Coturnix japonica: one gene and its partners. The protein of the gene in region 3 interacts with the protein of the main gene of each other region in a biochemical or structural test. Links are inferred from orthologs where the notes say so. Each region holds a gene or a part of one and is shown on either strand. Other genes may lie near its edges.

The links.
Region 1: the proteins of MCM4 (region 3) and CCNA1 form a complex in vitro, tested with the Homo sapiens proteins (2 studies listed by BioGRID and IntAct, with this or other methods). The link is inferred for Coturnix japonica from reciprocal best matches to the Homo sapiens genes MCM4 and CCNA1.
Region 2: of the proteins of MCM4 (region 3) and CDC7, one has a biochemical effect on the other in vitro, tested with the Homo sapiens proteins (2 studies listed by BioGRID). The link is inferred for Coturnix japonica from reciprocal best matches to the Homo sapiens genes MCM4 and CDC7.
Region 4: of the proteins of MCM4 (region 3) and DBF4, one has a biochemical effect on the other in vitro, tested with the Homo sapiens proteins (2 studies listed by BioGRID). The link is inferred for Coturnix japonica from reciprocal best matches to the Homo sapiens genes MCM4 and DBF4.

The regions. Positions count from the first base shown.
Region 1 is NC_029516.1:154,341,202-154,346,581, forward strand, and holds the end of CCNA1 (cyclin-A1), read right to left. Parts: intron 5,115-5,380; coding exon 4,891-5,114; intron 4,131-4,890; coding exon 3,926-4,130; intron 3,136-3,925; coding exon 3,022-3,135; intron 2,442-3,021; coding exon 2,308-2,441; intron 1,971-2,307; coding exon 1,919-1,970; 3' UTR 1,707-1,918; downstream 1-1,706. UniProt on the Homo sapiens protein: May be involved in the control of the cell cycle at the G1/S (start) and G2/M (mitosis) transitions. May primarily function in the control of the germline meiotic cell cycle and additionally in the control of mitotic cell cycle in some somatic cells.
Region 2 is NC_029523.1:12,594,144-12,600,687, reverse strand, and holds the start of CDC7 (cell division cycle 7-related protein kinase), read left to right. Parts: upstream 1-2,916; 5' UTR 2,917-3,014; intron 3,015-3,369; exon of another isoform or gene 3,370-3,715; intron 3,716-5,192; 5' UTR 5,193-5,199; coding exon 5,200-5,293; intron 5,294-6,544. UniProt on the Homo sapiens protein: Kinase involved in initiation of DNA replication. Phosphorylates critical substrates that regulate the G1/S phase transition and initiation of DNA replication, such as MCM proteins and CLASPIN.
Region 3 is NC_029517.1:97,602,881-97,608,301, reverse strand, and holds part of MCM4 (DNA replication licensing factor MCM4), read right to left. Parts: intron 5,070-5,421; coding exon 4,931-5,069; intron 4,487-4,930; coding exon 4,266-4,486; intron 4,048-4,265; coding exon 3,927-4,047; intron 3,781-3,926; coding exon 3,521-3,780; intron 3,389-3,520; coding exon 3,023-3,388; intron 2,719-3,022; coding exon 2,591-2,718; intron 1,409-2,590; coding exon 1,201-1,408; intron 878-1,200; coding exon 649-877; intron 527-648; coding exon 393-526; intron 59-392; coding exon 1-58. UniProt on the Homo sapiens protein: Acts as a component of the MCM2-7 complex (MCM complex) which is the replicative helicase essential for 'once per cell cycle' DNA replication initiation and elongation in eukaryotic cells.
Region 4 is NC_029517.1:18,956,939-18,962,867, forward strand, and holds part of DBF4 (protein DBF4 homolog A), read left to right. Parts: intron 1-477; coding exon 478-656; intron 657-3,817; coding exon 3,818-4,012; intron 4,013-4,998; coding exon 4,999-5,049; intron 5,050-5,607; coding exon 5,608-5,677; intron 5,678-5,807; coding exon 5,808-5,884; intron 5,885-5,929. UniProt on the Homo sapiens protein: Regulatory subunit for CDC7 which activates its kinase activity thereby playing a central role in DNA replication and cell proliferation. Required for progression of S phase.

The DNA of each region.
Region 1 (5,380 bases), on a different chromosome or scaffold from region 3:
GCCTCCATTAGCCTTTAGATTAAAAACAAATAAAAAAATGGAAGCACTTAAGCCAATAAGGTGCAGCACAGTGTATTTCAGAGATCATGGTGTGTTTTGTCTTGTTTTGATCAGTCAGTCAGGTTAATATACCAGATAATTAAATATTCAGGGAAATTAAATGCAATTATGGCACCTTTTCTCTATTTACATAAATCTGAAAAGAAAAACCAAAGGAAAACTTGGCCTCTAGGAAGACACCATGCAGTAAAACGTTCAGCTAAGTTAGATGGGGAATTCAGCTCCGGTTGCTCTAGATGCACCAAGTCTGTTGGCCCACGAAGATCAGATGTGACCGTAGTAGCAGAATTCCTCAGACTGAAACTCTTCCTCATTGTTATGCTTGATATGACTGTATGAATACCTGCAACTGCTAGAGCACTAGGAAAACAATTTCACACTTGAGGCATTCATTAGTGCTTCCAAAATACCCAGCTCTATAGCGCTTGCAATTCAGTAAGCAACAGTACCTCATAAGGGAATTAAGGCTTATTAACATGAGGTTTCAGGACAGTTCATATTCAGCCTGAAACACCATTAAAAAAGCCAGTACTCATAGCTGGCAGATTTAGAAGGACTATACAGTACACTTATTTTTCCATTATGAAACAATGAATCAAGGAACCCTCCACTCCACACTGTAGCTAGACATCGCTGCTTCTGGCCATTTTCCTTAGCCATCTACTTTAAAGGAGTTGCCTGAATGCATGGGCACAGTAGATAGCCCACCTTTCAGACCATTCACCCATAAGCTGTGAAATTTATTGCAGCAAAAAGGTTGATAGTGTTAACTCCAATCATAACATGCGTACCAGAGATGTCAGTAAGGGATACCTGGTCACATCTGTCAGTGTGACACAGATGCATTTTACTAGCAAGCTTTGCAATGAAACTAAAAACTGCACAGGGCAGGCTCAAAACTGAGTGCTCCCCTCCCTTACAGGTTATTTTGTTTAAGTAAAATCAAGTTATTACCCCTGCCCCATTTTGGGGACATACAGTATAGTCTACATCCCTAGCAGGACTGGTGAGCCTACACATGGAAGAGGCAGGAGAAAGTTTGTGTGCCTATCAAAGAAAGTGAAACACTTGAAGCTAACAGCTTCACGACACAGACACTGGTATGATCAGGTTTTATAAAGCAATAGGCTTGTTAACTAGTATTTCAACTGTTGAACTGTATGTCAATGTCAAGCATTCAGCATATCCTTGCTTCAAAACATAATTCTCTGTACAGATAACAGAGCTCAGGATAAGATAGTTAAGAACTGGGAAGGAAAGCTTCCTACCCTTTGCCTGCTCCTTTCTGTTAAGAGTGATGGTTTCTCTAGAAAGCCTCAGTTTCCCTTTCACCCACCTCCCCAGAGAAAATCCTGTGTTACCACACCGTAATGGGAGTTGAATTTTTAGCTGAGCATCAACAGTCGTCAGTATTCATAGACCACTTGTTCTGGCACCCGCAGACAAATCCCAGAAAGTAGTTTCTGTTCATGGGCACATCATCTTGTCATAGAATAAGAAGTAGTCAACCATATCTGTGTAGAATGTATTGGATTGAAGGACCTACCACTTGACCCATTCCAGCTCTATTAAAGGCCCATCTCAGTGATTTTGTAAGTAAACCTTTCCACGCACCATTACTGCATATATTAACTGGAATCAAAAGATTCAGAGGAAGTGTAATAAGACATTTATTAAAAGTGCTGTCAATTATATTAAGAGCTATGTTCTAATATACTTTTTTAAAAAGACATCTAATTAAAAAATACTAGCTAAAAATACTTCTGATCACAGACGCATGACCAGCAGTGCTCTATGAGATGTTAGACCAGCTTTGTTCATTGAGACAAAATAAACCTAAGTCCAGGATCCACCATCTCTAGCGTAGAGGAAGAACTGCTGGGGGCTCCAGAAGAGATACCTGCAGGTACCTGGAATAGAAATACAACCAATGAAACTAATAGTTTAGGTGACAGATGTAAAAGTACTGCAAGGAGCCTTCTGATGAAGCACAGTAGGAAAGAAGCCATCAAGCCATACTGCAATAGAATCGTGATCCACTACATTTGTCTATCTGTGAATCAACTACTTTCCTGTCCAGAAGAGTATTCCCCTCAAGATGCTGAGGAAGGCTTCAAAGTCAGCAACAAAATATGTCCAGTATAAGGAATTTATGAACTATAAGAGTTACTACTCAAGTTGCTCAAGCAGAATCATCCTGTGCCTACAACCCCCAAGTGAGGAAATGCTAGTTTCTTGGTTACTTACTTAGGATGTTTATATTTCTCCTTAATTGCTTGCAGTTGGCAATGCGGAGCATCAAGGCATGTCTTATGCAGGTCAGTCAGGCAAGGCACAATCTCACTTAATGAATATCCAGTGAATGAAGCAAGTGTTTCTGGCTGGTAAGGGGAGGAAAAAAAACATGTTATTCTACTTTAGGTAAGATGCTTCTATAGAAGCAAGAACTGTTTTCACTCTAGATTTGAGATCCACCATCAGATTTACTGGAAGTCTTCCTTGGTGTCAGGTCTGAGAAGAACTTCCTCCTGCTTTAAGTCCACTGCATTCATTATGTTTCTTCTGCATTTTGCTTCCTGCTAAAGCACAGATACCTGACAGGCCTATCAAGATTTCTATTACAGCTGCCACTCAGTGTAGTGGCATTCAGCTCTCTCTCCCCCTCCCCAAAAGCCCCTGAATTCTATCTAGGGTAGAAACTTGAGACTACCTACTGACAAGGCCTAAGGTGCACACTTATGTTAAGTGAAAACAGAAAGGACCTTTCCATTTCAGGGAGAAGGCAAGATAATTCAGATTAGTTTAACATTTGTTAATTACATACAGCCATTAGCTTGGAAAAAGCTGCTCATCCTTGCATTTCAGACTTTACAGTAACGTGATCTGAAGCCACTCCTACTTCTCAGCAGGTCTCTAGTTATAAAACAATTGAGCTAAACATCAGTATGCAGTTATTCTTACCCAGAATGATTTGTTCACTGTATAGTTTGCTAGACAGTAGGCTGCTGCAGCAGTTTGTGAAGGAAGGTACTTCAGAAAAGGATCGGCTTCAAGGAGACTCAGCTCTGCAAGATACTTAACAGAAAAAAAGAAAAAGCACAAGTCTTTCAAATAGAGTGGCTCTATCAGGTAGAGCTATGCCAATATACTGAGCACTTGAATTGGTTGGTCCTCAGTTCTATGTAAGAAACATGAGCTACATATCTGATAGGTAGTGGTAGGCAGTATTCCAGTCCTGTTGATCTTACAGGACTTTCAGCATCATCCAGCAGGAGCAGGAAGATCACACATCTGTCAAAGCCTAAATAACCAAGACTCGCATAAATTCCAATCAAATCTTCTAAACCTATCTACAAAAAAATCACAGCAATGTTTTGTCTAACAAAACGCCCCCACAAAAACACACCACCACCATCATCATCTCTTCCTATGATGATTTTGCTCACATGGTTGAACCTCACTTAATTGGTGACCTGGGCTAAATGAGCACCTAAGAAACAAATCTCGTCTGTTTGAATAAGTGCTGTACAAATCTCAGATGTTTTAAGCTAAGCAGCAAGTCAGAGGTTTTGTTATAAGCTTGTGTGACACACCATTTTGAAGCACTGTTTCCCCAAGCATTCTGTGGGAATATGCTGTGTCATTGGGCAGCAACATGAAGAATCATCATGTCCAGGTCAGGCTTCCCATGCATATTCATTTGAAGAAAGGATTCCTAAGACCTTGCTGCCAAGATAGTCTAGTTGACCAGACACAGGCTAAGCTCAGCATTCCCAGGCATTTATCCAGAAATAATGAAGCACGGAAGCCTGCATTTTGATGGTAGCAGCCTACAAATCTATCTTAAAAGAATGGTAATTCATACCCTTGCAAAATTCTCTGTCCTGAAACAGACTCCATGCTTGTGAATATACTGAAGTAGGAACTGGTTGATGGTTGGCACTGTGAGATCAAAAGCCAAAACCTTGAGAAGCAGGTGTTCCATTCTTAGCAGCTGCCTCTTTGTATATGTATCATCTGTTATATACACAAATTCATCCACTTCTGGAGGGTAGATTTCTTCATATTTCCTGGGAAAAAAAACAGAAAAGCCAGATTTGTGAACTTAAAAGTTAAAGTAACAGAACTTTCTGCTGGGCCCACATCAAGGTGAGCATATGACATTTCTAAGACAGGCTTAGAGGTCTTATTTTAAGATTTCCCTAGTATAGGAGAGGCTTGATTATCAGATTGGTGGGAAGGCAAAGATGTTCTCTAAGTCATCAGCCTAAATAGTCATACACTCATACTAGCACTCTTGACGAATAAGAAAACTCTTAAGGAAAAAATGTCAGTAACATCATGCACTCTAGACAAAAATCCATGCACCCTTAGGCTTTGCTGGATACCCTGCCTATTTAAAGCAGTTTAAGTTTAATTGCAGATTGCAACTTTTAACCTACTATGGGCTAGTGGCTTAATACAGCACTGTTTTTGCTTCTGGTATTATGATTACAAGGTTCTCCCTCTACAGTTCCTTAATAAAGAATATTAAATTCTTAGTTTTGCAAGAGTTAAAGTATGTTAAGTGGCTAATGACAGAACCCTAGAATCCTTACACTTAGAAGGAACCTTTAAAGATCATCTGGTTCAAGTCCCTGCAATAAGCAGAGACAAACACAGGTTGCCCAGGGCCTGATCCAGCCTTACCTTGAAAGCCTCCAGGGATGGGGCACCATCTTAGGACAGCATGAAAACCTACCTACCACCACAAGCTTAAAGTCCTTCAAATTAAACTAAAAGTCCAAAAATAAGTTCATCTCACTAAGATTTCATGAGATAAACACTCACGCTGCCAGAAGAATTGCCGCTGTTCCTACAAGCTGCAGCTTCCCTCTGAGAACAGACATACAAGAGAGAAACCTGTCCAGGTAGTTCACTGCCAAGTACAGTGTCTCTGTTCGAAGTTTATATTCTTCCCCTACTTCCACCAGCCAGTCTACTAAGATGGCACGCATTTCTGTTGTGATATCTGGTTGCTTCCTCATGTAGTAGGGCTTGGGCCTGTATTTCACCTGTTTAGAAAGACAATTTAAGAAACAGAACAGCCGTTGAAGTCACATGCGTTAGTATTTTGCAATAATCTACTCACATCCCATCTTCAGAATGTGGAGTAATGCCTGAAAAACATCATCACTGTCTAGAAGATTTCTAAGAACTAAGCTCCAGTAATGGCTTTAACTGTTTGTTCAGTGACAGCCTAGAGTTAGTGTGTGACAGCCATATGGCTTTGCAGTATTGCAGCCTTTAAGGAAGATCCTACACAGCTTTACATTTGTTA
Region 2 (6,544 bases), on a different chromosome or scaffold from region 3:
CATACTTTATTCGAATGGGACCTAGTTTATGAAAGGTCAAGAATTCCTCTTTGCCTGGGGTAATTTTTATGTCTATTTTTAACTCCCTCTAAATAGACTGTAGAAGCTGCTATATTCTAGCTTATTTTCTGACACCAGAATATTGCTTGACATTTTAGATCGTTCTAACTGATTGGAAAATACTGGCATAGACAGTCATTGCCACATCCAAGTGCATCATCCTAGGGCTCCCTAGCATCACAAAATACTCATTTGCATGTGAGAGCAAAGCTGGCAATCTCAGCTTTCATGTAAAATGGTTAAGGTATGGAAATGGAAAATGAAAAACAGAAAGAAAAAATGTAGCCCCATGGTTTTCAAATCAATCTCTTCGTGTTAGTGCAAGACTCATGAGTCCTGAATGATTGAATTTGACAGTATTCCTAAAGGGCACAATAGCATGAAGAGATTTGTCTCAACCTGGTGCTAAAGAGAGAAAATTCTGCCATAGAATCATGTTGCTTGACAATAAGAGGAATTAAGTTAAGAAATATGACATTTAGGCTAATGAAGACTGAATAACATGTTCAACAGCCTATATTAACATTAAAATGTACGTACTGGTATATGTTGCCAGGGCAGTAACAAGCTGTGCTTGTAATATACTAGTAGTATACTAAGTAGTTTCTAATTTCTCACTTTAAATTTCTGAGTAAATAGTGGGATGTAAAGATTTCCTACCTCTGCCTGTGCTGGAAATATTTATCAGTTATCTTTTTGGGATCTTTTCTTCGAGACTGAAGCAGTACAAGCACAAGGAGACTTATGCTAGCTTAATTGACCTAGGAAGTGGTTGATAACTGTGTACCGGCATCAACACAGACTATTTTTAAATCTGTCAACAAAAAAAATAATTCATTCACCTGCAGATTCTGGCAGCAGTGGATGAAATCTCACAGCAAAGTTTTGATCCTTTCTTGGAGAGCTCCCAGAGGTTGGCTTTGGCAATAGCTTGTCAGCCTTAAGCAACGTTCTTCTCAGGCCTGGGTTGTCATTTGGCTTCTCATCCTACAGATCCAACCTAGAGATAAAGCCACAAAGAGGAGACAGTTCAGCAGTTTGACTTGAAAAGCATTAGACATGCTGCTTTGTTTGTCATATTTGGCTGACGCAATTTCTTCTCTTTTATTCTGAGAAGTTCTGCCTTAGTACATTGTTAGAACTGGAAATTCAGTGTTGAATGAGAAGATGGAGGCTTCTCTGCCCCAACAGCAAATAAGGAAAGGGATTTCTATTTCCCCAAGCCAGCATAAAAGGAATGTTTCTCATGCTTTAGCAAAGGCACAGAAGCTGTGTTTTTACGTATTTTACATTCATTCTGAAAAAAAAGCAAAATTAGCTAGAGATACTTAAGCAAGAATTAAGGAAATGGAGCAGAAACAGTATACATAATCTATCATTATTTTGTTAAGATGTACATGAAGAAAAGTTGCCTTAATGAAGGGGTGAATTTTGGGAAGATATTTTTATGAGAGCCACACTCAGCTTGACTGAACTTCTCCCTTAAGCAGATGAGAAGCTAGGACATAAAAAGCACTTTTAGAGAGATAAATGAAGGATAACATCCAGGCTGGCATTTCTGGCAGACTAAGAAGAGTAGGACAATAAAATAAGAGACAATATCACATTTTGCAAGTGCAGTTATGCTTGTGAGAACAAATACATATAAATTTGACATAACAGAGAAGCTGAAACAATGGAAAGACAGCACAAAGGAGCACAATGCATTTACATCAATATGAAAGGAGGAAATGGAGAGGGAACAAGAGATCAAGGTAGACAAATGATGAGGGTCTAAATGAAAAGGATTTTAGGTGCTGGAAGGAAGAAAACAGGTATCACAGAGAAAGAAACCACAGCCATATAGAATCTATTTTGGAAGATAAAATGAAAGGGATTTCTCACTGCCCGTGAATGTAAGCTAAGTGGTAGGGAGAAAGATAGTATCAATATTGCTAACAGGAATGCCAAGAATGGAAGCCTCATAGAAGGGGTGATGGTTCGGTACATAGACCCTCACAGCACAAAAGCAGACAGCGCAAGAGGCAGGCTGCAATTCTGACCTGGCCATGAGGCAGCAGAACCGAAGACACAGCTCATATGTAATCACACACTATTTTGCAAATCTTAATTTGAAAACTATGGCAATGCAGTGCAAAGGAGTGTTCAATGTTTCTGACTTCTAGAAGATTACAAGGGCAAAAGGGAGAGCAGAATTTATCTGTCGTAGTTTTGTCATTATCCTTATCATTATGTTTGCTATAATCTGCTCTTAAATACCCTCAGCCATAACCTGTTAAGCCTGACTGTATTTAACTGAGCAAAATCTCTGAGCACGAGCTGCTGCGCTGCTTTGAGAGCTCTAACAGAAAGTGCCAACTAAAACTGCTGGGGGGGGGGGAAACAAAGCACAAAAGCAGCTTAGCGACGTGTTCGGGCACCCGCTTTCGATCCCGTGTAACAGGGCTTGTTTTTCACCTCAAAATAACGACCACAAGTCTGGATAAAAGAGAAAAGGAAAAAAAAAACCACAAAAACAACAACGTACATGGAGTAGCCTCGCTCCATGCTCCTCGCAGACTTTGAAGAACGGAGCTGAATTGATGGCAGATCTGAAAAGAACCAGATCTTACCCGGGGCTGGCAATTATTTCGCATTAACCCCATGTGGAGAGAACCAGAATGAGGCGGGCCGTTACCGCACACGGACACCCTGCAGCCCACACGGGCACAGTGCACAGCACGGCCCGGCGCCACACAGCGCGGGCGGCGTGAGGGAGCGCAGCTCACTGACACCACAGCACAACAAGCCCTCAGCCCGCCAGCCCCGCCAACGGCCAATAGCAGCGCTCCTCCCTGCGGCCCGCCGTCCCATTGGCCGCGACCGCGGCTTCCACCGAGGGCCGGGATTGGTCGCTGAGGGGCGGTCGGCAAAAGGCGGCAGCGGGCAAAATTCCGGCGCGTCGCGGCGGCCGCGTGAGTGACTGAGAGAGTGAGAGAGTGAGTCCGTGAGTCCCCGAGTCCCGCGTGTCCCCGAGCCCCTCGCGCCCCATTCCCCGCCGCACCGCGGCCGGCCCCGCGCAGCTCCTCGTTATCATCGGCGGGGCTTGCTCGTCCCCCGCCTCCTCCGCGGTCCCTCGGCGCTTCCCCTGCAGCCCGTCCCCGAGGGAGGGCCCCGCTCTGCGCCGGGCCGGGTCGATACCCACGCACGATCCCGTCAGGACAAGGCGGGCCGGGCGGCCCCGCTTCTCCGGGCCCTGTAGCGCCCCGCGGGGTCCGGCCCCGTTTCCCGCACGGCGCATGCCCTGCAGCTCCCGCCCGCCGCTATCGGTGCCCACAGGGCGGTGTGAGTGTGTCCGAGCGGAGCTTGGCTGCGTGGGCAGCGCGTAACGCCGAGCCGCTGTGACACGGTGCGGGTGTTTGTTGGCCCTTTGTCTGCGGGAACCGGCGGGATCGAGCTCGTGTCCTGTTTGCGCGGCTCCTCGTGCGCTCACGGCGCTGCTCGAGTCGTGTTGCTGCCGGTGGCTGTGTGGCAGTTGATGCTGCAGCCCAGCACAGCCGCTGAGCGCTCCGGACCTGGAGGTTTATGAGCCCTATGGGCCGCCACCGCCTGTGTCTCGCTTATTTCCGTGCCATGGAGAGCTGCTTGTCTGGGATGGGAGCTGGGACAACCGCGGGTGACTTGAGCTGAAACTTTGCATCACATCCGTCTTCCTCTTTTTTTCTCTCAGATGATCCGCTTTGGATATTTCCTAACATAAAAACTAGATGCTTGACTTGATCAAACTCCATCAGGTTCAGTTTTATAACCACGAGGCCCGCTTCCAAGTTTGTAAACTGTGTTAAAATATATTGAGGTATTCCAGGCATTCAGTTCTGCAGCCATCAGAACCTGTTTGACACAAAGTAATGGAAGGGGCACCCTGAGTTACTGAGCCCCCTCCACCCTGCCCATATTCCTGAGGTCCTGCAGGCTGAGCAGCTTTGCTTCCAGCTTTCTGAACAGGCAGGTTCTGGAGCTGGGGCTGGTTGCAGTGAGCACTGCTGTGTGCTGATGGGCTCTCCTTGCTCTGCTGATGAGGCCATGCTCAGTGCATTCCTTGCTCCGCTAATGAGGCTGTGCCATGACAGGTTTGGAACAGGCTTGTCTGCCTGGTCAGCACTAGCAGGGCAGTGCCTACCTGTGAAAGGCTGCAGTGCCACCTCACTGCATAAGTCTCTCAAGTTGTGCTCTCCAGCAAAGTTCTCTCGCAGAAAGAGGCTGTTGTCTGTCCCCATTGTGCTGCGTGAGAATGACAGAATAAAGGTAGCCAGGATTCTCCGGGGACAAAGTGTATTTCTAGCTCACTGAAATAGATGAATCCTTTCATCTGGGAGTTTTTCAAAACACATTCCCCCCCGTTGTAGAAAAGTTCAGGCAGAACTTTGTGGGCTCGGCAAAGGTACAAGCAAGGAAGATCCTCGAGCAGAAAATGGTGCCACTGTGAGAGGCGGTGGTGCTGAGCTCCCTTGTCACTGTTTGTCCTTTCCGGGTGCTCCACGTCTCTTTTCTTCACGAAATAGGATTATCTTTTTTATAACTGTACATTAGTACAATAAGTTACACCTTTTCTTACAAGACTTGGGAAGAAGCATTTCAAAATAAATATGCTCTGTTACTTCTTTTATGAGGGATTAGACCAAATAACGATGCTTTTGGGTTATGTTCTAGAAGAGGGAGAAATTTCACACATTGAGATTTTCTCCTATACGTTTTCAGGTTCTCTGTCTTTGTAGGGGTGCTGCAGCGTACGATGCAGCTAATGCCATGTGGACTGGTTCCTCACTTTTCAAAGCAAACTTAAGGAAAAAGAGCTTTAACATGAATGAGCAAACACTGCCAGATAAAAGAAAATCATTTGTCTCTAACCATATCCTGCTTTCTTCCTTCTTTTCTTTCTTCTTGCCTTTTACTGGGGATCAAGTGGGTTTACTGGTTTGATTTTTCTCTGGGATGGTAGATGCCTTGTGACTCTAGGCAGCACAGAGGAACTCCTCATTCTTTGCATCTCATTTTGGAAACCGAGTGCAGGGCAATGAAATGTATTATCAGGTGTGTTTGCTCCCTCAAGTGTCCAGAAGTGGTTTTCAAGGTCTTGGATGTTTTTTCTTTAGTTTTGTGATGGAGACAGAGTCAAAGTCGCACTGTGATGAACAGCACCCTCATCAGGCTGAAGACACAAGCAGAAAGCATGTGCAGAACAGCAAGCTTTCAGGTGCGTGCTAAAGCAAGGACTGCTAACAATACGTTTTGGTGTTGATGTGCTTCTTCATCACTACAGGAAGTTTCAACATCAATTATCATATTGTATAAAGATTCGATGAACTGAGAACATTTGAAATCGCTGTTGACATAAATTATTTCTGCTTTCCATGTGGCTACAAAAGTTCATCAGCAGTAGTTTGTCACAATTCCTTTATCCTATTTATTGATTACCTAATATATTATCTTAAGGGATAATAGAATTCCAAAAGGGACTTCTTGAAGATAAAATTCCCTTACCAGACAATGTCTCAACAATAATATTTTGCCTTTCAACATGTAATAACCAGCCTTGGCCTTAAATATCTGTAGATGTGTTGGTGTGCACAAGCACACTGTTCTTGGTCATGCAAGAGAAGCTTAACTACAGACACGTACGTTTTGTTACTGCTTTTATTTTGTCTGTTTATGACTTCTTAAATCTGGGTGTTCTGTACACAGGCACCATCCTTGCTCAGTAATTGCTGGTGGTCAGACAGTTTATATATAATGGCTACTGATTTTCCCAGAAATAGACCTCTGTCATTTGCTACACATCCGTGTCCAGAATTAGAGCAGTGCTGAATAGCATTTAATGTCTCACTTTGCAAATGCTTTTCATACCGGGAAGTAAATAAATTATTTTAAAGTCTCACAGAAAATGTTGCAAAGAATTTCTGCATTTTTAAATTGTGTTTGGGCAGCAATGGGGCGAGCACTGTGCCCAGCTGGGGATTTAGGCTCCTGGAAGAGAACAGATGATGTTCATGCTGCTATCAGCAAGGACAGTCAGCATTCGTTTCATTTTGGGATCTTTCACATGTAAAGCTATGTTGACTTGCTAAATCCTCTCAGTGCCTGGGGTATGTACACCTCTGGCCTAGGATCACTCAGTGGTTAGAGCTCTGATAACGTTCAGCTCTTTCAACTCAGTTGCACAAAACCAAGTAGCTGGCAGATTGTATTGCAGCTTTTTGTTATTGTTACTATCTACCGTAGGGCCATTGGTCCGGTGACAATGTAAAGTCAGCTTAAAGTCTGAGCTGCTAGTGTCTGAAGACTTAAAAGATGTGTGATTCAAGTCCTCATTGGAGTCATTAGCATTTTGCCAAGGTTAAGTCCTTTTTTCCAACCAGACAATTTTACTGGAGCAGTTCCAGTGCAAATTCTGTGTAATCAGTAAGAACTGGAGCTTAAGCTCCTCTTTTCAGAAGTCAAACTCATA
Region 3 (5,421 bases):
AGAAGTCATCATCAGCCAAGGCACGAAGAGCTTCCTCAAACATCTCCTTAGTGACAGCCTTAAAGAGAAGAGAGAACTCAAATAAAGATGGAGAGAAACAAACAAAACCAACCAAAATACTTTACTTCCCATCACTGCTCTTATGAGGGTTCCTTCTCCATAAATTTGAACATGAATTCTGCAATTTAGATCTAGCCCAGAACCCTGTAGCTGAGTTGTTGGGGTTTTTTTTTGTCTTCTGAAATGATAAAGACTCAGAAATCAAAGCTTATGCAGTGGAACTGGCTTTCCAGTCAAATTAACAACATGATATGAGGATGAGTTGATAATGGTTTGGAAGGGAGAATGTAAAAAAAGGAGAAATAAAAAAAAAAAAAAAGCAGGAGACTTACTGTGTCAGACTGTGCTCGGAGATCCTCAAAAAGCTGCTGATACTTCAAAGCTGGTGTTTTACCTTTGGACTGGATAAGCTTCCTCAAGGCTTGAGCCAACTCCTCTTTCCGCTTACGAGCGGTTGCGCTCATTCCTTATAACAAGAAAAAAAAAAATCACCTTTTAGTACTAAGTTGGAGAGGAAAGGTTTAAGTTACTTCTTAAATTGATTAAAGCCCCCAGACATCTAAGTTTTATCACTACAAAAACACAAACCTGTAGTGAGGATGGATATGTCCACAATGCCAGTCTTTGGGTCAGTAGCAGACTGCTTCAGAGCTTCCCGATGGAGACGTTTTGCTTCTTCTACATCAATGATTTCAACTTTCTCAGAAAAGCGTACCTTAGCGTGGGCTTCTGCCAGTCGGATCAGAGACTCAAGTTGTCGAGGATATGCAGAAACCATTCCCCTGCCACTTCCAATCTTCCTCATGTCCACATATGCCTGAAAAGCAGGCATTAACTATTTCAGTAAATCCCGTTACTGCCCTAACTTACAAGTCTCTTTTATCCCTTGTGCGCTATCCCTGACTATCAGCAACTGTGGAAAGCTACACACTTTCAAACATGACAAAATCAAGTCAACACCCCAAAAAGTAACCTAAGGATTACAATACAGAATTACTTTAATAGTACTTCCCTCTCTCCTTTTAAAAGCTTGTGATTTTTAGAGGTTTTTGATAGGTAGGAAACAGAAATAGTTGGGCATTTTGCCCTTTTTGAGAAGTCAGCAAAGACATGGAACATTCTTAACAGCAATTACTTTACCTCAATAAGGGCTTGGCTTGCTTCCTCACTTAACCTGGGATTTATATAACTGCGAGCAAAGGCAATGTAATCCCTCAGTACTGCCATGTCCATGTACTCCTCCTCCAGCTTTTCTTCACTTTGGTAGTACAGTGAAACTAAATGGCGAGCAAGACGTCTGTCATAGGCTTCATCACGTGGGTCCAACATTAAAAAGATCAAGTCAAACCTGAACGGAATAAGAATCAAATATGAGCGTGTATATTTTCCTGCAATTTAAAGTTGATTCTTTTATGGTTTTTCACTTCACAATTAGATTTAGGAGATACTACTCCAAATGAAGGGTGCTCTTTAAACTGAAAGAGTACTTTTCCCTCAAACACCTTTAAATACAAAACACTACAGAACTGCAGCTGGCTAGATCACCGAGTCTAACCCTCAGATCAGTTTGAATTTGCTTTCAACATATGCACTTTGAAGACAAGATACATTTTGTGAAATTTGGTTCAAGGCAGACTTGGTCTTTTTTCTTTGGGAGTTTTAAACAAATAACACAGAACAAACTTACTGTAAGAGCTGCTGCCCTGAAAAGCAGCAGCAACCAAAGTGCATAACTATTCACTATATTCATATAGATGTATATGCATTTAAAATAAATACAAAATATTAGTTCTGCACACAATAGGTAACATTGTAGGTAACTGTAAATAATAATGTTCTAGCTAGTTAGTCACGTATTTTCAAAACCTTAAATCCAATAAATGGCAGAAATGAGACATGCTCAAACCTAGTTTCCTTCGGTATATCCCAGCTAAGGTACTTACCTGTCATTGTCAGCAGCCTTTCATTGAATTCTGAACTATAAATGGTGTTCTCAGAATATCCAGCATACCATCCATATACTTTAAATTAGTGTAGGAACTGCTCACCAGATGCAATTAAAGTACATAGCTTAATTTCACATCTGCAGATGCTACATGCTGTTTTAACAGCTACTGTCCAAGGAGATCTATGCCCCCTCCCTGACTGAATTTCACAGGATGAAAACAAGCAGGCACAGAACTTTAGAGTCCACCACATCCAGTGCAAGTTCCCTAATCATCAGTGTTTCACTTCAAACTTGTGCAGGGTTATGAAAATCATGCTGGGTTTCCATTCAAGTTACCAACTACTGTAAGGTTCAAGGTAACTCCTCCAGAGGATGATCTTGAGACAAGGGGGAAGGAAAAAAAAGCCAACAAAAGAACACAACAAAGATTAAGATCCACAGATTTTATCAGATCTTCTGTTCAAGATGAATAGACTAGAAGGTAGATCTCCACTCATGCAGAAGCTGCAATTCTGATTCTACCATACTGAATCCTTTTCACAACAGGTAAAAAAAACATGAGACATGTGAAGGGTTCAGTACCTTGATAACAGTGTGTGAGGAAGCTGGATGTTTTCAATAGTATTCTTTTTTGGATTCCATTGTGATTCTATTGGGTTAGCTGCTGCTAGAATAGATGTGCGAGCATTCAGTTGACAAATGATTCCGGCCTGTTAAAATGAAAAAGCAGTTCTGGATTCAGAACCTTCATAAGATCAGTGTCATTTAAAGGGTTTCATAATAGAAAAACTCATTGCAGAAGCCTACTAGAGTAAAGCAAGAAGAAAAGCATCTGGAAATAATACAGTTCATGCAAGGATAGCCCTGTGTCCATAAGCACGAGATGTTATATAATTTAGGATTGAAATCCTAACAACACCGGAAAAGTACAACCCTGGTTCTGGCAACTTCTTGGTTTCATCTGCCCTGAGCTGATGCTTAGAACAAAAAACTTGGACTTAAGCAGACACCAACCTTTGCAATGGAGAGAGTCTGTTGTTCCATTACTTCATGAAGTACTGATCTTGTGCTTTCATTCATTTTGTCAAACTCATCAATGCAGCAAATGCCATTATCACTGAGTACTAAAGCGCCTGTCTGAAGAACCAGCTGCCGAGTTTCTGGATCCTTCATCACATATGCAGTAAGACCAACCGCACTTGAGCCTTTCCCAGAGGTATACTGGCCTCGAGGAACCAGGTTATACACATACTGGAGTAGCTGGGATTTACTAGTGCCGGGATCACCGCAGAGAAGAATGTTGATCTCTGCACGGAAGTTGCCTCTACCTGTGCGAGTGAAATCCTTTCTTGATCCTCCAAAGAGCTGAAGTAGAATGCCCTGTTAAAAAAACAAACGTGCTCTTTAAAGTCAAAATATCAACTCATTTGAAGTCTCATTTGTATAGCAAACAATTAAAGAGTACTTGCAATTCAGAAATGTTTTACAAGCAAAATACACAATTCCTTTTACCTTTTTGATATCTTCATGCTCGTAGATACTTGGGGCCAGTGCTGAAGAAAGTCTCTCATATATGTCTGCTTTAGTAGACAGCTCTTTTAGAAATGCCACACGTTCTTCTGTAAACATTTTTTGCTCCGTTTCCTCATCAACACCGTGCAGGCGTTTTGAATCAGTCTTGCGATAATGTATGACATCAATGTGGGTCTTATAGACAGATTTTACAACACTGACCCTCGGATTAACTCGAACTGGGACTGCCCTGTAGATGCCTAAATACAATTAATGACAGCATTAGATAAAAGAAACATATTAACTAATATGTCTTAAGAAGCGTCCAATTGCCAGACAAGCAGACTCATAGATTAAACTACTACAGTTCAGTTAAAAAGGAAAATGCAAATAAAGTAAATTTTACCTGTGACATTAATTCTATCGCCTGGTTGAACTTTATCAACAAGGTCATTGTGAGCAAACAGTGCAACCGTATGAGGTGTCTGTCCGGCTGGCATATCTTCAGGGGATTCCTGCAGTTTGATCTAGCAAAAACAAATAAAACCAAGTCGAAAGTAAGAAAAAAAAGAAAGCTGTACACAAGGTATACAAGATCTTGTATTATCACAGCTTCCTGCATCATTTTCAATTAGGAACTTTCCTTCTCAAGATGCATACCTTCATGCTGTGATGATATTAGGGGAGATGGGAAACAAGAACTGGAAAAAAGTTTCATTTTATCCAATATCAAAGCACAACGTACCATCTGTTTGTCAGAAAACATGGACCTGTTGTGAATCAGAGCCATACTGTGCGTCGTGTTACAGTTCCTGCACACTGATGGTTCAGCAATCCTGCCGCGGTCAATTTCTACTCTTGTGGTGAACGCGCAGACCTGGCACTTAAAGAATGCTTCTTGCATCTCAGGAATTAATTGGGAGCTCCTGATCACCATACCGCTGATGGTGATAAGCTGATCAATGTCTACAAAATACAGATGCTTATGTCATCACATCGCAGTCTTTAAATTTAAAATAACATTCAAAGATCTACATCCTGTTAGTTTTTAGGTGGGAAGTGGACATCCAGTTAGAAATGACTATTTTGTCATAGACAAAACAAAAACTGTCATAACTGTAATACTAATATACTAATATAAGTGAGTATTCATACAGAATAGTCTTCTACTCTTGCAGAAGTAAGAACATGGGTAGCTGATGACAGATAGACTTCCTTTGGAGATATGTTCTCCATTTGGACTCCACAGCATTTGATTCCAAAACAGACTTAAGCAAAATGAAGTACATTGGTATGGATGGACCACAAGTCCAGTTGTAAGTAGTCTATACATAAATTGTGTGTTAGAATGTAATAAACTTATGTAAATCCTTCAGATTGTTTTTCTAACGCGGCAATTTAGAGGTTTACCTTCAGGGTTTAGGCTTCTCATATTCCTAGTCTTCAGTGCATTGTATGGTCGCACTTGAATTTGATGTTCTAATATGGAATCAGGATAGCGATCAAAAAAGATCTCATTGGCAGCCATGTCAAACGTTGGGATAACTTCCTGTGTAGAATTGATAGGAACAGTTAAGCTTAGAAGAGAAAAAACCCCCCACGTGCTAACAAACCAGAAGCCTAACAGGATATTTCTGCGTAATACATTTTAAAGTGCTGCTGATCTGCCAGGGATGTCAAGAAACTAAATAAAAGAGAACACACTGTGTTTTCCTACATAACAGGCAACTTACCATAAAATCAGATTTACTTATTTGACTGTTGCAAAAGGAAAAGACACAATGCAGTACTTGGTACAATGAAGTTTAACAGAACATTTTGTATGCAGGAGACACCTATCACAAGGTCTAAAACCTTTGGACTACTACAAAATAAGACGTTAAAATGAAGAAACGATTACA
Region 4 (5,929 bases), about 79 Mb from region 3:
TCTCAGATGGGTGCTCAAAAATTAGATAAACAGGGGGATCTTCCTATTTTTTTAATGTTACACTGGCTTTTGATTTGTTTTTGTTCTGTTGCTTCTATACGAATCTTCCTTTTTTCCTAGTTGAAAAGGAGAGAGGCTGTTCTTTTTCCTCCTAAATAGTGTTCTTGTGATAATCACTGTCTGTACAAGTAGTGTATGTGCTGTGGGGATGGAAAATGCTTAACAAAGAGGATGAGAAAATGGATGGCATTGTATGGCAACTGAAATAAAAAGTCCATTTTAGTGCATGATTTAAAAAAAAAACACTTTTAAGAGCTCTTTGTTATTATATATGTCTTGTTTTTGACATGTTTAACATGTAGCTCTTTAATAAATGTCTTTTATTACATGGAAGCTTAACTTCTTTCATATTTAAAAAGAGGAGAACCCACATTTTGTAGAATATAATTCTTCTAAAATTGTCTTCTCTTTTGGCAGCAGATGAAATGCAAGCAAAAACAGAAAAGGTAAAATCTTCTCTGAAGAATGTGAAAAAAGAAGTAGGAAAAGCAGAGAAACTGAAATATAAACCACTCACTGGGAAAGTGTTTTACCTCGATATTCCATCAAATGTGATCTCCGAAAAAATAGGGAAGGATCTTAAAGAATTAGGAGGGGTAAGTTCATGTTCAAAGTGCCCAATGAAACTGAAAGAAAACCTGCAGCTGGGATGTCTCTCCATGTACTGTGCTGCTGTGTTTTAATGTTACATTTATTTTAGATGTGAAGGGATTTTATTTTTTTCATGTCATTTTAGTGTTTAGTATAGATCATCGGCTTATCAAGAAGTTGGTTTTGTGGGGTTTTTGTTTTTACTAGGAGCTGTTCTTCTGTGTGTAGCAGAAGTTTTTATCACAGAGGTTCATTTTCAGCTGATGGTTCGTTTACTTAGTTTTTTATCCAAGTGCTGTAAGTTTGTGTTTGAAGCAAAGTGTTTCTGCAACCTTGGAGTATTTTGACACATGTAAACATGTTATAGCTAAAGTTCTTCTGATGAACCCGAAAGAGGTTAGAGGAAGTGTTTTGCATATGTTTATGGAAAGTCTCGTGTTCTTTTAGCTTGGTTTGGGGTATTTGTTAAGGTTGTCTTTTACTTGAATGATCTGATGGAGTTTGTATGCATTTAATCGAATCATATATAAGATAGCATTTCTTAGATTTTCTAATACATTTTGTGTTTAGAGGCTACTTAACTAAAAGTATAATGGGAAAGTGGTTTGGCTTATTTTTTTTTCTCAAGTACGGGCTGAGGCTTATAAAGGCTGAGCTGGAGTACTGTCACCTAGCAGAGGGAGGAGATCTACACCTCTCTTGGCATTCAGGGCAGGTTGTGGAGGAAGAACCGAAGAAAGAACTTCAGTGCAGTTGTTGGGCCCAAAAGGATGTAGAGGGAAACAAAAAGTTTTGAGAGATTGGCAGCAGAACATCAACTCCTCAGTGTCATGGTTGAAATGTGAGCTGAATAGAGCAGGGGAGTTAGGAAACAGGACCAAAGCAGTATGAGATGAGGTTTGAAAAACAAACGAACAAAAAACTCAACAACCCCACACTGACTTCTTGCATATTTTTTTCCTTTTTTTTTTTTTTTTTCTTTAATTCTTTTAAGGCATTTAGTTTTTAAAAGGTTCTCTGGAGTTCTTTAAACAAAGATTTGTATAGCTAATTTCACTTACATTCTGGATTTTAACCTTAATGTTTTTAAGTACTCGTCTTTCTACCGTGTGCAAACAGCCGTGAGAGCCACTATTTTAAGAGCAATACTTCGTCCAGTTCTGGTGGCATTATCACAAGAATGGCCGATAAGGCTGGGGTGCGGTGAGGAGCTGCAGCAGGAAATTCAAATGCTCTGTAATGTCAGCTGAGATGATCAGCTCCAGCACTGGAACAGGCTGCTCAGAGAGCTGCTGGAGTCTCCTCTGGAGATGGAGATATTCAAAGCCAGCAAGAAATTTTGGTGGTTAAAGTTGTGTAATACTTTCATAGTCAGGTTTTTACATTTCAGCCTTAGCATTTTACCTCAGTAAGACATTTCAGTAAATGCTTTCTGCTTAGAGTATGCTAATGAAAATTAAGTATTAATGTTTAAATTGTAAATTCTGTAAGCATCTTGTTAATAGTTTGTTTCTGCAAATTCTCTCTTTTGTGTGTGTGGGGGGAAGAAAGTATTTGATAAAAGCAAGTGAAATGTGAGCAGTGTAAGTACTTGGGCCACTTTGAAGTTGAATATTTGGAATTAGTTTAAGGGTATTGTGGTAATACAAGTATAAAATTTCCTTTAGCCAGTGTAGAAAAAAGGAACTACTTAAATTGCAAATTGTCTTGAGTGTTATTTTGGCAGGAGTTTTTGGTTATTTTTACTAGAGGAGTGCTGAGCAGTTGTATGAAATGAATTTCAGACAGCATCCTGACTAGTATCAAAGTCAGTAAGTTGCCATAATAAGATTTCAGGTTACAGATATCTCTACATTCAGCACTGAACTAGAGTATTTTATCTTTAGAGCAGAATTTTAGGAATTCATTTGTAAGCAGTAAGGTTGCAAGTCTAAGACTGAAAATAAAGCTTTTCTGTTTTATTCTGGGGAGTATGTGCATAAATCCTCAGATTTAGGCCCAGTGCCCTCAGGGTCACCTTCCACGTGTTTCTTTGTTGCTTCTGTGGGGTGCACTCAGAAACCTCCGTGTCCCATTTCTGTAAAGTTTGTAGAGAAGAATGAGAAGGTGCAGTTTCAAACTTGCTGGCTCTGATTTTTGCTTTCCACACTGATTAGTAGAGAAGATAAAAAGACTTTAAGCTACATAAGCTAGCAAGAAATCATTAGCCAAATAAAACTGATAACAGTACAATGGCAGGTAGTGAAAGATTGAAGGAGCAAAACAGAAGAGAATGAACATGGGGAAAACTTAAGTTTTTTTTCAGTGAGTTTGAAAATGCTATTAACCTATTCAAGCTAATACATTTCACAGGAGTGTTATGAATACTGTAGGTGTGAAATGGGGTAACTATCTTGAAAACTCAGTTTTCAGGCAATAAACAGGACCCAAGGAAGTGGCCACAAGTTGTATCAGATGAGGTTTAGACTGGACATAAGGAGGAACTTTTTTCCTCAGAGAGTGGTCAGGCACTGGAATAACCTGCCCAGGGAGGTGGTGGAGTTGCCATCCCTGGCAGTGTTCAAGAAGCATCTGGATAGGGAGCTAGGAGACATAGTTTAGGGGTTTTCTGTAGGTATGGTAAAGGGAAGATAGTTGGACTAGATGATCTTATAGGTCCTTTCCAACCTTGTGATTCTATGATTCTGTGGCTTCTGAAGTTCATTGTTAAATCTCCTTGTAAACTGTAAATTATGTTTGCATGTGCATCTTTGAGCTAAGTTTAGCTGAACACTTGGTAACTTCTGTTAAATTACATAAAATTTGGCTTCCTTTGACTTATTCTGTAATTTCTCAGTGTGCCAAGTTCTTCTGTATGGAAGGTATTACAGCTCAATTCATCAAGGAATGGTAATAATCAAAATAAAGCAAAGTTGCTTTTTTGGTTGGGATTAGAAAATCGGAGAAGTGAAACTAGGGTTTGTCACTGGTAAGATCTTACTACGGTTCAGTTGTTGTTGTCATGTATATATTTTAAATGTCTTCCTGATAATTCTGTTTTATGTGCGTAATAGTGGATTTGTTTAGTTGTAGTTTTATCACTTTTTTTTCAGTGCACACAAAGCAAAAAGGGAATTACTACTTTGCTGTCCTGAAGTAACATCGTGCTTTATTTATTTTTATTTAGAGAGTGGAGAGTTTTCTTAGCAAAGATATCAGCTATCTCGTGTCCAGTAAAAAGGAGGCAAAATTTGCACCAGCACTTAGTCAGATTTCTCCAGCTCCCAGCCCGGAATCTGTGTGCAGTGGAGGAAATGGTACAACTCATCCCAGCGGCCGAAAAGATCGACAGGATGGAAATTCATTTAAGGCAGCAGATGCAGTAAGTTTCTATTGTAATAATGCTGTAAAACGACTACAACCTGGGAGATGCGCTATCAGAATTTTTCTCCTGTCTTGTTTTCTAATGCTGTTAATGCAAATAGCCACAGAAGTAGTTTTTGATGGTATCACAGTATCACAGTCTTGTGCGGGTTGGAAGGGACCTTAGAGATCATCGAGTCCAACCCCCGGGATTCGAGCCTCTGTGTAGCAGAGCGGCACTTCTACCACTTGCGCCACAGGGGGGATTCGAACCCAGGGCCTCCGGTGTTGCAAAGTGGCGTCCTTAGTAGTTCAATAAAATAATTGCAATTGAACATTATCAGGTTTAGTTTGTTTGGGTGTTTTTTTTTCTTTTAGTTCTTAGATGATTGTGTTAATTTCAGCAGTTTCTGAGTTTCTGCAGGTTTACTTGAAGTCTGTTTCACTGTCAAGTTTAGTTCCCTTTCTATCCTAACTGTATCCTTGATACTTATTTAGAAATGTATGTGTGGGACAGTCTGCAGGTTGGTCTTTGCACTGGGTGCCTGAGGTCACCCCATCTTGACAATCATGTGGATAGGTGAAGGCACGTTCATTATGAATGTACAGAATATAGTATAAAAGAAAAGGTGGTGATAATTATGGCTCAGGCTATAGTTACATTCATGGCTGGTAGCTAAATTTAGCACAAGGTCAATTGATGACACCTCATCTTTTGGTGTATCCCGCAGGCTGCCCGTTCGTACCATCTGTCTTGATCCAGCACTTGACATTGCTTCAGCCGTTCAGTGACCTGCTTTGGTTGAAAAGTACTTTGTCTTTTTTCCCCTCAGAATGTATGAACCCCAGCCTTGTATGAAAAATGAAAATTAATGAAAAATAACTGAAATAAACCAAAGGAGATGATCACAGACTTTTGCTAATAAAAATTTTTAAATTTGCTTTACCTTTTACTTTCTGAAATGAAATCTAACTTGCTACGAATGTCTTTCTGTTATAATATAGGTACGTTTGAGCAGAGGAAAATCCTTAGCTGAAAAAGCAATCAGAGAGCAGGTAAGTTGAGTAATCCATACATTTGTACTTGAGGAATTTTGGTCCTGTGGTTCTGGAAAACAAGCACTAGTAAGAATGATGGTGGGTCTAAGACGGAGGTGTCTCATGGGATGTTCAGGCAGGAATTGGGGAATTGTTCTAAGCATAACTGTCAGATGATGTTTTCTGGGTAGTTCCTGAAGAGCTGAATGTCTTATAGTCTTATAATCGGTATTATATTTTATCAAGGTTGTAATTGTATCTAGCATTTGAGAAGTGCTTGTGAAATTATATGTACAAATCCATTGTCTTCAAGTATTGCATACTATAAAGTATGACAGTAGAGAAGGCTCTTGGCTTTGTGAGATGTTAACTGTAATCCTTTGATAAGTGAAGTGCAGTGACATGGAGATGGAAAAGTCAGTTGAGGATATTTGTAAGTATTTTGGCAAGAAGTAAATAGTCTACAGTCAGATCTCAGCTTTCATAAGATAGTTCTTATTACAAGATGTAGTATATTGATATTTATGACAGTTTATTTGATCTACTGCTGAAAATGAGAATTTTTTCTTTTCACAGGAACTAATCCCCTCTGGTAGCATACTGTCCAATGCTTTGAACTGGGGTGTGAAAGTACTTCATGTTGATGGTAAATAGCTTTGGTGAAGCATTAATTGAACGTTTTCTTTAAACTTCTTTGAGTTATAAATATTAAAAATGATGAATAACTTCAAACATGCAAAAATAAATTCAGCTAAATATAATTTTCTCTTTACTAGATGTTAAGCATTACATTGAACAAAAGAAGAAGGAGCTCTACCTAATCAAAAGCACAGGCAGTTCTTTCAAAGATGTGGTAAGTGGGTTTTAGCCATTTGTAAAAGCTAATGTGATTAAATGA